Linked DNA regions of Mytilus edulis. The protein of the gene in region 2 purifies or fractionates together with the protein of the main gene of each other region. This does not show direct contact. Links are inferred from orthologs where the notes say so. Each region holds a gene or a part of one and is shown on either strand. Other genes may lie near its edges.

The links. Proteins that work in one complex are often made in the same cells at the same time.
Region 1: the proteins of U2 small nuclear ribonucleoprotein A'-like (region 2) and PHD finger-like domain-containing protein 5A purify together in Homo sapiens (affinity purification with mass spectrometry; 4 studies listed by BioGRID and IntAct, with this or other methods). This does not show direct contact. The link is inferred for Mytilus edulis from reciprocal best matches to the Homo sapiens genes SNRPA1 and PHF5A.
Region 3: the proteins of U2 small nuclear ribonucleoprotein A'-like (region 2) and splicing factor 45-like purify together in Homo sapiens (affinity purification with mass spectrometry; 5 studies listed by BioGRID and IntAct, with this or other methods). This does not show direct contact. The link is inferred for Mytilus edulis from reciprocal best matches to the Homo sapiens genes SNRPA1 and RBM17.

What each region holds. Positions count from the first base shown.
Region 1 is NC_092352.1:52,171,411-52,175,170, reverse strand, and holds the start of PHD finger-like domain-containing protein 5A, read right to left. Parts: upstream 2,258-3,760; 5' UTR 2,200-2,257; coding exon 2,148-2,199; intron 1-2,147. Other genes in the region: probable ATP-dependent RNA helicase DDX47, read left to right, coding at 2,496-2,576.
Region 2 is NC_092344.1:117,060,377-117,064,136, forward strand, and holds the start of U2 small nuclear ribonucleoprotein A'-like, read right to left. Parts: upstream 2,356-3,760; 5' UTR 2,275-2,355; coding exon 2,193-2,274; intron 1-2,192. UniProt on the Homo sapiens protein: Involved in pre-mRNA splicing as component of the spliceosome. Associated with sn-RNP U2, where it contributes to the binding of stem loop IV of U2 snRNA.
Region 3 is NC_092344.1:3,347,599-3,351,358, reverse strand, and holds the start of splicing factor 45-like, read right to left. Parts: upstream 2,420-3,760; 5' UTR 2,405-2,419; coding exon 2,306-2,404; intron 1-2,305. UniProt on the Homo sapiens protein: Splice factor that binds to the single-stranded 3'AG at the exon/intron border and promotes its utilization in the second catalytic step. Involved in the regulation of alternative splicing and the utilization of cryptic splice sites.

The sequences.
Region 1 (3,760 bases), on a different chromosome or scaffold from region 2:
ACCTGTTGGGTCTTTACATTTTTAACCATGGCGTTGTCGGGTTAATTTTGACAAAATAGTTTGAAATAATGTCCCTCTGGAATCTTTCACTTCTCTTTTCTCATGTTTACTGGTTGTTTTAAATAATAGGCAGTCTCAATAGGGGGTTCTGATCCCGGATCCCGCTTATTGTTTTGTCAGATTCTCTTATCCCGCTTAGACTATGCATGTCAGCAATTCTTTTTTTTTCGTAATTTCCTGTTTTTTCACGGCAACATAATTTAACTTTAACGCAACATGGTTACAAAAAAAATCCAGTGTCAAGCTTAGAACCCTATGAGACCCACATGATAGGCATGTTTTGTTTTTTTGTTTTAATTTAAATGTCATAGTTTTATTGTGAAAGTCTATGGATTGTTCCAGTGAAATTTGAACCCTCACATCTTGGGATCTTAAGACAGCGCTCTAACAGATAGAGCCAAAGTTTTTTTTAAAAATAGAACTACGATTGGATATCTTAATCTTATTCTGTGGGTCTCATTGGGGTCTAGAGTGACGTGGGATTGCCGATTTTATGTAAGCGTGACACATGAAAGTCAAATTATTGTCGGGAAAACGGGAAATGAGGTCTAGCGGGACACAGGAAATGACAAAAAAAATAAAATTGCTTATGTACATTGTGTAAGCGGGATACAGGAATCTGACAAAACAGTAAGCGGGATACGGGATCGGAACCCCCCAATGAGACCCCCTATTCTACTTCTACTTCAAGTTCTACCAATACGCAGCCACCATCAATAAGGCCTAAATTAATAAATTGTTTGTTTCCCCAAGCCAGGTGTGGGTAGGCATGTAGGTAGGTAGGGAAATATTTTTATTTTTTCCAAAAAGCTGTAACAATAACTGTCAATCCGGTAGTCCAAATAATTATGACGTCTTGAAAGGCTATTATAATTTTTTTCTTTGACGCCTTACTTCGACGTCATAACGCCAAACTCATATATTCAGTTGGACTTTGATAGGGAATTTACTGCTTTATAAAAACGTTTAGCTGATTTCTCCTCAAGATGCTTCATTTAAGGTGTACAAAATATATTTTTGAACCAAACTCGGTACATTTTGACCAACCTGAATTTCCGGATAATGTAAAACAATGGTTCCGGAAATTCGGGTTTTACCGAGTTTGGTGTAAAAATTATTTTATAATCTCCTAAAAAGAAATCCGACAAACGTTTTAAAAAATGCAGTCGACATGTTCCCGCCTCGGATGGAATTGTTACTTATATTATTATTTCTGTAGGGATTAATTGGAAATATTTTCGTAAAACAAACACATAAAAGGTAAGAATTTTTATATATGCATTTTGTTTTAGCCTTCTTTGAAAATTTGATGGCTAAATTGGGTCTCAAAGTTGAGAGCAAAATATGCTCTCAAAGTCCAACCGAAAATGGCGGCTTCAGCATTATGACGTCGAAGTAAGGCGTCAAAGAAAAAAATTATAATAGCCTTTCAAGACGTCATAATTATTTGGACTATCAATCCGGCAAACATGAAAAATTGGAAATGAATAAAATAATATTTGACTTAGCTGTGACAATAAAATTTTATGAGTAGCACCGTTTTTTCAGGGTCTGTCGGGATTGGGGAAACAAACAATATTTTATTTTAGGCCTAAGTTGATTGTTTTGCCACTTTTGGATGCGCATTTAAAATTTTGACAAGAAATAAGTATTAATTGATAAGAATTTGTGCTATACATCATATAGAAAGTGATTCTGTATTCTGTAGGTGTCGCTGTTGACACTGGATTGTCTCCCTTGTAATTATTTAAATCTCGCGTGTATTTATATTTCACTCTGGTAAACAACTCACTTGTACTTTAAAATACATACTATTAGGTGGCAACTGTGCTTAACATATTTTTCCAAAAATTAAAAAATATATCTACATTTGGGGGGGGGGGGGGGGGGGGGGGCTAGGATGAAAATTTTTGTCCTGCTTTTTTTTTTAGTTGTAATCCCTGTCCTGTCTTTTATTTTGAGTGGTTTGCATATCACCCCAGTTGCCGAATTGACTATTTTCATCAGTTCATCCTCATTCAGGATAATACTGCATTACAAACGATAATCCCCATCCCCAACCTGAATAACAAGCAGGTAATACTGACCAACCCCTGGCTGTTTTCTACAGAAAATCAAATCTGGGTGATGTTTTGCCATCGTCTAGAAACGTTCTACAGTTTTGCAAATTTTAAGCAAAAACGAATTTTTATATAATGCAGTCTATGCAGTGTCAATATAACAGTTAAACCAATAAATCTCTGTTTTATATTTTTTCTAATATATGTTATAAATTATGATTATAATTACATTATTTTAAAAGAGAAAATAAATGTAAATGATTTAAGTTCGTTTTGAAAGAATATTATTTAAATATGAAATTCTTCTAGGTGATCGAAACGTTTAAAAGACCGAAAATTAAACATTAAGATAATAGCTCTATAATTACATTGAAAATGGCATCCGAAGCAATTTGTGAAAACAACGTGGTTCCAGAAAATGATACAGAAGAAGAAGAAATAACATTTAAATCACTGGTAAATGGCCAAAAAATATCGAAATCATTATACACACATCAGGTTAAAACGTTCCTTGTTCTTTTCTTCTCCTTTTTCATGTTTGTTCTTTAGTCTTAACTAACTTAAGTGAGTGTTTACTTGACACTAATATAAGGCAGGCATTACATGCAAATGGGGACGAAGCCTGTATGAATTTTTTTTTGTAACTTAAATATTTGTTAAAAAAAAAGAAACGGAAATACCGTAACATTTCTGATTTTGGTTCTGTTGTTAGGGATTTTAGTTTTGACGTTATTTAAGTTATGACATCATATGCAATGTAAACAAAGAAACGCTATCATCAAGTAACGTTTTTTCATATCAAGGAATTATTGAAAATGAAATTGGTATTGCGTTTCTTCCTATTTTATACTAGACTGATAAATATATATTTTACTCAAAGTTTCATACAAACAGTCAGGGTACTTACTGAAATAAGTGATTTTTAAATCACTTATTTGAGTATCAAATTTGAGGTTTTGTCACAAATTGGGATTTTGTAGTTTTTTCAAAATTTTAAACACATAGGTTTAAATAATATCTTTTAATTAGTAAAATTATAAAAAAATGAACTTTTTGCTTCTTTTAAATAGCAAGGTTCATGACTTTGATGCTATCATTTAGCCGTAAATTCAATTTTAGTTGAAAAAATGCTATAATAATGGCTTTACATAACGAACTGAGACTTTCTTAAAAGATTTTTCCCAGCAGTGGGGGTATTTTTCCTGTGAAGTTCAAGGTTTAATCTTTCAGATTATGTCATAAAATTCTACTGTTCGCAATTAAAAATTTCACTGTTCGGGGGTGTTGAAATTAGTGGGGGTTATTAAAAGAATGATACTTAAAGAAGTGATTTTTGGGAAGGAAATTGAGGTCTGATACTTAAACAAGTGATTTTTATGTCATTATCCAAGATTCAGTACAAGGTCATCACCTGAAATGACCTGGTCATCCTAGACAACACAGATGTTGGTTCTGATAAGTTAAGAAACATAATTAGTCCCTGGATCATTAGTATTCTATATTTAAAGCTATAATAAAATTAAATCACTTCTTCTAGTGATTTATTTGTACGTGTACAAAATGTACTACTTAAATAGATGATTATTAAAGAAAGACAACTCTAACTTCCAACCTTTATGGAAATAATCTTACTTGAATCA
Region 2 (3,760 bases):
ACAAACGAACAGACAGACGAACAGACGCACAGACCAGAAAACATAATGCCCCTAGAAAACATAATGCCCCTCTACTATCGTAGGTGGGGCATAAAAATAGAAAAACCATGATTTATTTATTCATGCCATGTTGTCCCACTTATTAAAGACAGTCTACTACGCTAGTAAAGACTGTTCTTACATTCATGAAAAAGAATGCATTCTCATAGAATTCTAAGAAACTGATAGGCAAAAGATGTGAGACTTAAAAGAGAAGAGTACATGTATGTTGGGTCATTGTCCTCTAATGTAACATTTCCACTGGTCAGAAACTATGTTGATAAATTAAAAAGTGATAAATAAATCATCATTTTGACGCCACCCCCTTTACTCCATAATGACGCCTTTTGATGCCTGTGTAGTACCTCAGTTGAAACGCTTTGACTACAAAGTGTCTGCAGTAGACTTAATAAAATTTGTATCCAATATGAAAAGGAATATCGTAGGAATATCCGACTTTAATTTATTTGATGAATTATTTGTTTTTTCGCAATGCATTAATACTTTAAAGCATATTTTTAGCATTTTATTGAGAAATCCTTATGCGAATCAGGTATGCAAACAAAAAAATTCAATGGAGGAAAGGTTAACAAATCACGCTGAAAAAAAGGTCTGCTGTTCTACCCAGTTATTAAAAATAGAAAAACCATGATTTATTTATTCATGCCATCTTGTCCGACTTATAAGGACAGTCTACTACGCTAGTAAAGACTGTTCTTACATTCATGAAAAAGAACTCATTCTCATAGCATTATAGGTTTGCCAACACGCCCAACTGTTAAATTTAATAAAATGGTTATGAATACCTTAGAAATGCATCTTAGTTTTTTTAAACTCTTTTCTTTTGGTTGAAAGAAAGCAGAAAGATGAATTAGTGTTTCTGTGAAGGACGATGTAATTGACTATTGTAACTGTTTATGATGGGGTTTTTTCCTGGTTTATAATATAATCACTGTTTTACAGAATAAGTGGATAATCATTGTTCACATATGTTCACATAATTTTATTTTGTTATGATAGGTTTGCAGTGCAAACTTTGCACAATAAGTCAATAACACAAGCAGTGGCATGATAACACAAAACAAAATACTAAATGAAATATCAGGACTAGAAACAAGACCACACAACTAAATCACCCAGTGCGGACTTGTATATAAATTATACATATTTGTATGATATTGATAATTCTGGATAGTGGAGGGTTATATTAATATTGTACTCTACCAAGAGGTTGTCCTAAAGGACAAAGAAAGATTCAGCAGTAAGATTCAGTACTATGGCATACCATAGATAAGTTTTCATCAGTGGGGTGAGTTGGCTGACCTTTAATAAAATTGAGAATGGAAATGGGGAATGTGCCAAAGAGACAACAACCCGACCATAGAAAAAAACAACAGCAGAAGGTCACCAACAGGTCTTCAATGTAGCGAGAAATTCATGCACCCGGAGGCGTCCTTCAACTGGCCCCTAAACAAATATATACTAGTTCAGTGATAATGAACGCCATACTAATTTCCAAATTGTACACAAGAAACTAAAATTAAAATAATACAAGACTAACAAAGGCCAGAGGCTCCTGACTTGGGACAGGCGCAAAAAATTTAAACATATATATATTCTCCAGGATTATATTTAACAGGATTTAATCCTTTTTATATAAGTTGGGAGAGTTTGTAGGCCAGTGTGTGTCCATTTTAAGTGGGGAGATAATTTTTAAAAGTGTGGCGATTTGATGAAAAAGTGAGACGATTTAGTTATGAGACGATATTTTTGGTGTGGAGTATGTATATTGTTTCACAGGAGTTTGAAATCCTATCAATAAGGGGGTAAAAATATACCAAAGTCGACTATCACAGTATATTTTCGAGAGAAGCTCTACTGTGATAGTCGACTTTGGTATATTTTTACCCCCTTATTGATAGGATTTCAAACTCCTATCATTGTTTACACAAGAAATATATCAAAACCAGAAGAATCTACTCCGACCAATTTTGCATGAATCTACGTTTCAAAAAGATACATTCGCAAAAACTAAACTGCCTTAACAAAATACTGATTAGCCAAGTTTAAGTTATGAAAAATTATATTATTTTGTTGTGTTTTTGACAAACTCTGTCATTGTGATCTTTTACGATTCGAGACAGTCAGTTTACCTCTGAGATCAAGTTCTCTATCTCGAACTGGGTTTGTATATTGTGCAGATTGTTCAATCAATTCAGCTGTTAACTTAACCATGGTGTTTTAGTCTTTTTATTTAGTTTTATTTAGATTTAGTACGCCATGCGTCTGTTCATGTGCGCATGCGATTGTGGAAGTAGTTTAATTTGAAAAACTAATGCGATCAGCCATGTATAGTATCCGGAAACTGGAACTGAGTTTTTCGTAGATTCAAGCAGAGCCTTCCTATACTAACTTTCTTTAAATTAGTATAAAAAGTCTCTGTTTCAAATGTGGTAAAATTCACAGATTTGTGACTCAAGAAAATCCCCCATAAGAGGTTAAATTTTAATATGTCATAGTGCTTCAAAATCTAAACATACTTTAACAACCGAGGCTCAAATTCATTAAATAAACTAGTAAAAAGTATTCTTTTCAAACGTTTTTTTGTGATGTATAAATGTCATAAATACACATCCACTGACGTTCATTTTTTATATCGAGATTACTCTATCTATATTTCACATTAGACATTTTTCATTATCAGTCTGTTCATGACCGTGACGGCGTATGAGTGGCCGTTCGTGTCATTTGCGCGATTATATACGCGTATATTATCACGCAAATGACATGAACGGCCACTCATAATGACGTTAAGGATTATGTACCCTTGTGTTGTATCAATGTTAAACGAAACATATGAGAATTTATAAGAAAATCCCGTGACAGCCTTCCCTCCTCGTACTCTTAATTTTGGCAATTCGGTGCTTGATAGATAGAGGATTATTGCATGCAGTGCTAGCAATGATTTCCTTAAAACAAGTACATGTATATGAATGTTATATATGGTGCGCTCGACTCAAGTTTAACATGTGAATCAGCACAATTTTTTTTTTTAATAATCAGGTTTATTTATGACTTTTCTATAAACAATAAACGCTAGTAAATCATAGAAACACAAGTGAGTGATCTATGCTTAAAATTTCATACGAAAAATCTTTGTATTATTAAAATCTTGGTTTTATTTATCACAAAATCCTATTTTTCTATTCAATAAATGCAATGGACAATAAATAATGATGCTTGTTGTTCACATGGCAACAGAAGGGGTCATAAACCTTAAATTACTAAATCTCTGGGATGTGTTTTAGTTGATTTTACTTCCTGGTGCATGATTTTTTTATCATTAATTTGTTTTGGTGTTCAGTAACTGTTTTAGCTTTCCGTAACTGCGAATACTCTCGAATCGTACTTTCGTGTTATTTTGACCTGTTGAGATAATTTGTAATGATTTTTTTTGTTATTTAATGTTAACTTGGCCTATTTAGTGTAATATAATATTTAAGATATTTCATATAATATATAAGATATCTCATAGAAATGAAATGATATAAGATATCTTATATATTATAGGAGATATCTTATTTAGTTTATAAGATATCTCCTAAGGTTTATAAGATATATCCTAAAGTTTATAAGATATATCCTAAAGTTTATAAGATATCTTGTATAGTTTATAAGATATCTTATATAGTTTATAAGATATCTTAAATAGTTTATAAGA
Region 3 (3,760 bases), about 110 Mb from region 2:
ATTCAAAATATGTTTTTTTCATCTGCTTGACCAGAATATCTTTTTTTCATCAAATTGGGGATCTGAATAATTTTTTTAGGAAAAAAACATAACCCCCTTGAAGCTAAATGGTCGTTCCTTGATCACTATGATTTGTCTTTATGAAGAGAGACTGCTCTGCTGATGACGTTTCTTTTTTTTTAGTAGAATTTGTTCCCATAGATCTTCTTTTACCAAAACTTGCAAGGTATTCAGTTTCTTTATATGCATATATATGGTCATGGTATTTCTTTGATAGTTATACCAGATAGGTGGCATGCTAAAATCTGTTTCTGTGAAATTAGAACGCATGTCAACAATTATTCTACCAAGGGGTGTCTGGATTGGGGAGGGGGGTTGTACCTGTATTCTTTCAAATGTTTGCCATTTTCTCTATTCTTTATACTTTTTGCCCATTATTTTAGGACCTCATTTTTCTCTATTTTTTAAATCCCCCCTCCCCCATTTTTCTCTTTTCTGTAAATCCACATCCACATCCTCATAAACCTCTACTCATGAAGTATATTTTCTATTGCGGCAGTTATTAATCTTTATCGGACTTATGGGGTGTTGGACCAGTGGGGTGTCGGAATACCTGGCTGACGTCCGTTGACCCCCATAAATCCAATAATTGTTTATGTTATTATGAACACCATCACATGTCAATATCATATATTTATTTGAAGTTTATACCCAAGATTCACAAAAGTGTCGGATACTTTCTTTTTCATCTATATTACAGTTTTCAGATGGAAAAAAAATGTTAAATATGAATTATTGGTTATAAATATTAGGGACAATCTACACTATGCCATATTTAATTAAAAAAAATCTACATTAGTTTACTGTGTAATATATAAAAATCACCACGTAGTTTCTCGTATGTCCTACGAATAACAATGTATGATATTGTGCATGCACTGTTCTGTTATTTGTGTTTCCTATCTGTAATAATCATTAAAATGTTAACTTGGCGTGCCATACTTGATAGAAATGCGGACGTGAAAGAAAGCACTCTTTATCAAAACGTCAACGGAGATTACATTCTTCATTTATACAACCTATTTCAGGGAAAATGTGTATTAATTTTCAATGTTGACACCAATATTGATCTGCTGGATGTAGATTTTACGAAGAAAACCTAAAACACATTTGGTCCTATTTGTTATTTCATAGCAAAGACTCAGTCTGGTTTAATCATTGACGGTATAATATTGTTATCGTACGATGCACAGTCCTGTGTATCCGCGCATTTCATGAATTTTGGCTCCACTGTGAAAAACGTATGAAAACTTATAACTGTAAATCTTCCTCTAAATTTATGATTTTACTCACAATATTATGTGCAACGTGTTTCCGAAATTTGACCGGGACTTTATACGATCTTTTTCTAAGAAATACAGTTCAGTTTGAACCTTGGAGCGGACTTCCAAGGATGCGGGCAAAAGTTTTTTTGTCATCAGTTCAATGATATTTGCCGTATTTAAAATAAAACCATTTTCCCCTAATAGATTCATGAGGAGGGCAGGACCTTTTTTGATCCGGTTCTACTTTCAAATTTCGGAATATCAGGATTTAAATTTCTTTAAATTCGGGACCTCGGGATAACATACTTTTAAGACCTTGATTTCGGGACCAGGCCCCCTCTGATTCCCCTCCCCGTCACCACCCCATTCATATCTCATTTATGCTTCAAGAACTTCTCAATTTTTATCTTTTCTTTCTCTTATTATTTTAATGATAACCAAAACAATTCTTTTTGTTGCGAAATCATACAATGTGGGATATCACCGGCTGTGCGAAGCTCTCAGTCTGACAAATCATCGAGTTGAAAAGCCTGTCACGGTACTTTTTCGGCTGATTTTGGGTTACAGGTAATCCAAGCACTTGCATGGCATCAATTTTAGATGTACAATTAAGGTTTTAATAGCGCTCCTTCGTTCAATTAAATTTAATAGTGAGTTAATAGACTATTAACGCTAATTAAAATTTGTGCAACACAAATAATAGACTATTAAATGTAAGTGTACTTTTAATAGACTATTAACTTTAATAGACGTTTGTGCAACCCAGTCCAGATTAGTGTTATAATTTTATATTTCTTATTTTATCTGATAAATAAAAATAATGTTGTAACTTAACGCCCAAAATATGAAGGGTAAATATAGTGTTATGAACTTAACTTTTAGGTATGATTTTGAAAAAAAATCTATTATGGTTTCAGATAATTATATGTTAATTAAAAAAAATCGTTTAAGTTATCATAATATAAAAAAAAAACTGGTACCATCTTCTTCATTGTTACAACACTGGATGGTAGAATATAGCCTTTTGTCCTCTTCTGCACTGTTACAACACTGGAGGGCAGGATATTGCAATTTATCATCTTCTGCACTGTTACAGCACTGGAAGGCAGGATATATATAGCCTTTTATCATCTTCTGCACTGTTACAACACTGGATGATTATCATCTTCTGCACATTGTTACAATTTACACTGGAGGGCAGGATATAGCCTTTCATCATCTTCTGCACTGTTACAACACTGGATGTTTATCATCTTCTGCACATTGTTACAATTTACACTGGAAGGCAGGATATAGCCTTTTATCATCTTCTGCACTGTTACAACACTGGATGATTATCATCTTCTGCACATTGTTACAATTTACACTGGAAGGCAGGATATAGCCTTTCATCATCTTCTGCACTGTTACAAAACTGAAGGTAAGAGATAGCCTGGTACCAATTTCTGCACATTGTTATATACAACACTGAACTAAGTGGGACAGTCTGATAAGCTTCTTCACTGTTATAATACTAAAGGACATACAGGGAAGCCTGGTTTCAGCTTTTCCACTATCGAAACACTGAATGGTTTGAGATTGTCTGGTAACAGCTTCTTCAATATTTCAACATTTTAGGACCAGAGAAGAACTGGTACCAGCTTTTCCACTGATAACACACTGAAGGGCATGATAGATCCGGGTTTCCGCTTCTCCACTGAAGGGAACGAAATTCTTTCCTATCAGCTGCCCCACAACACAAAGAACGCAGGACATGACATTAGGTTCTTCAAGCTTCTCCACGACACAAAGACTACAGGACATAATATAAGTCCTATCAGCTTCTCTATGACACAAAGACTGAAGGACATGTGATTAGGTCCTACTAGCTTCTCCACAACACAAAGACTGCAGAAAATGCATTTAGGTCTTATCAGCTTCTCCACAACACAAAGACTGCAGGACATACATTTAGGTCTTATCAGCTTCTCCACAACACAAAGACTGAAGGACATAGGATGAGGTCTTATCAGCTTCTCCACGACACAAAAACTACAGAACATAATATTAGGTTCTATCAGCTTCTCTATGACAAAAAGACTGAAGGACATGTGATTAGGTCCTACTAGCTTCTCCACAACACAAAGACTACAGGACATGCATTTAGGTCTTATCAGCTTCTCCACAACACAAAGACTGAAGGACATGAGATGAGGTCTTATCAGCTTCTCCACAACACAAAGACTGCAGGACATGAGATAAGGTCTTATCAGCTTCTCCACAACACAAAGACTGAAGGACATGAGATGAGGTCTTATCAGCTTCTCCACAACACAAAGACTACAGGACATGAGATGATTAGGTCTTATCAGCTGCTCCACAAGACAAAGACTACAGAACATGAGATAAGGTTTTATCAGCTTCTCCACAACACAAAGACTGAAGGACATGAGATG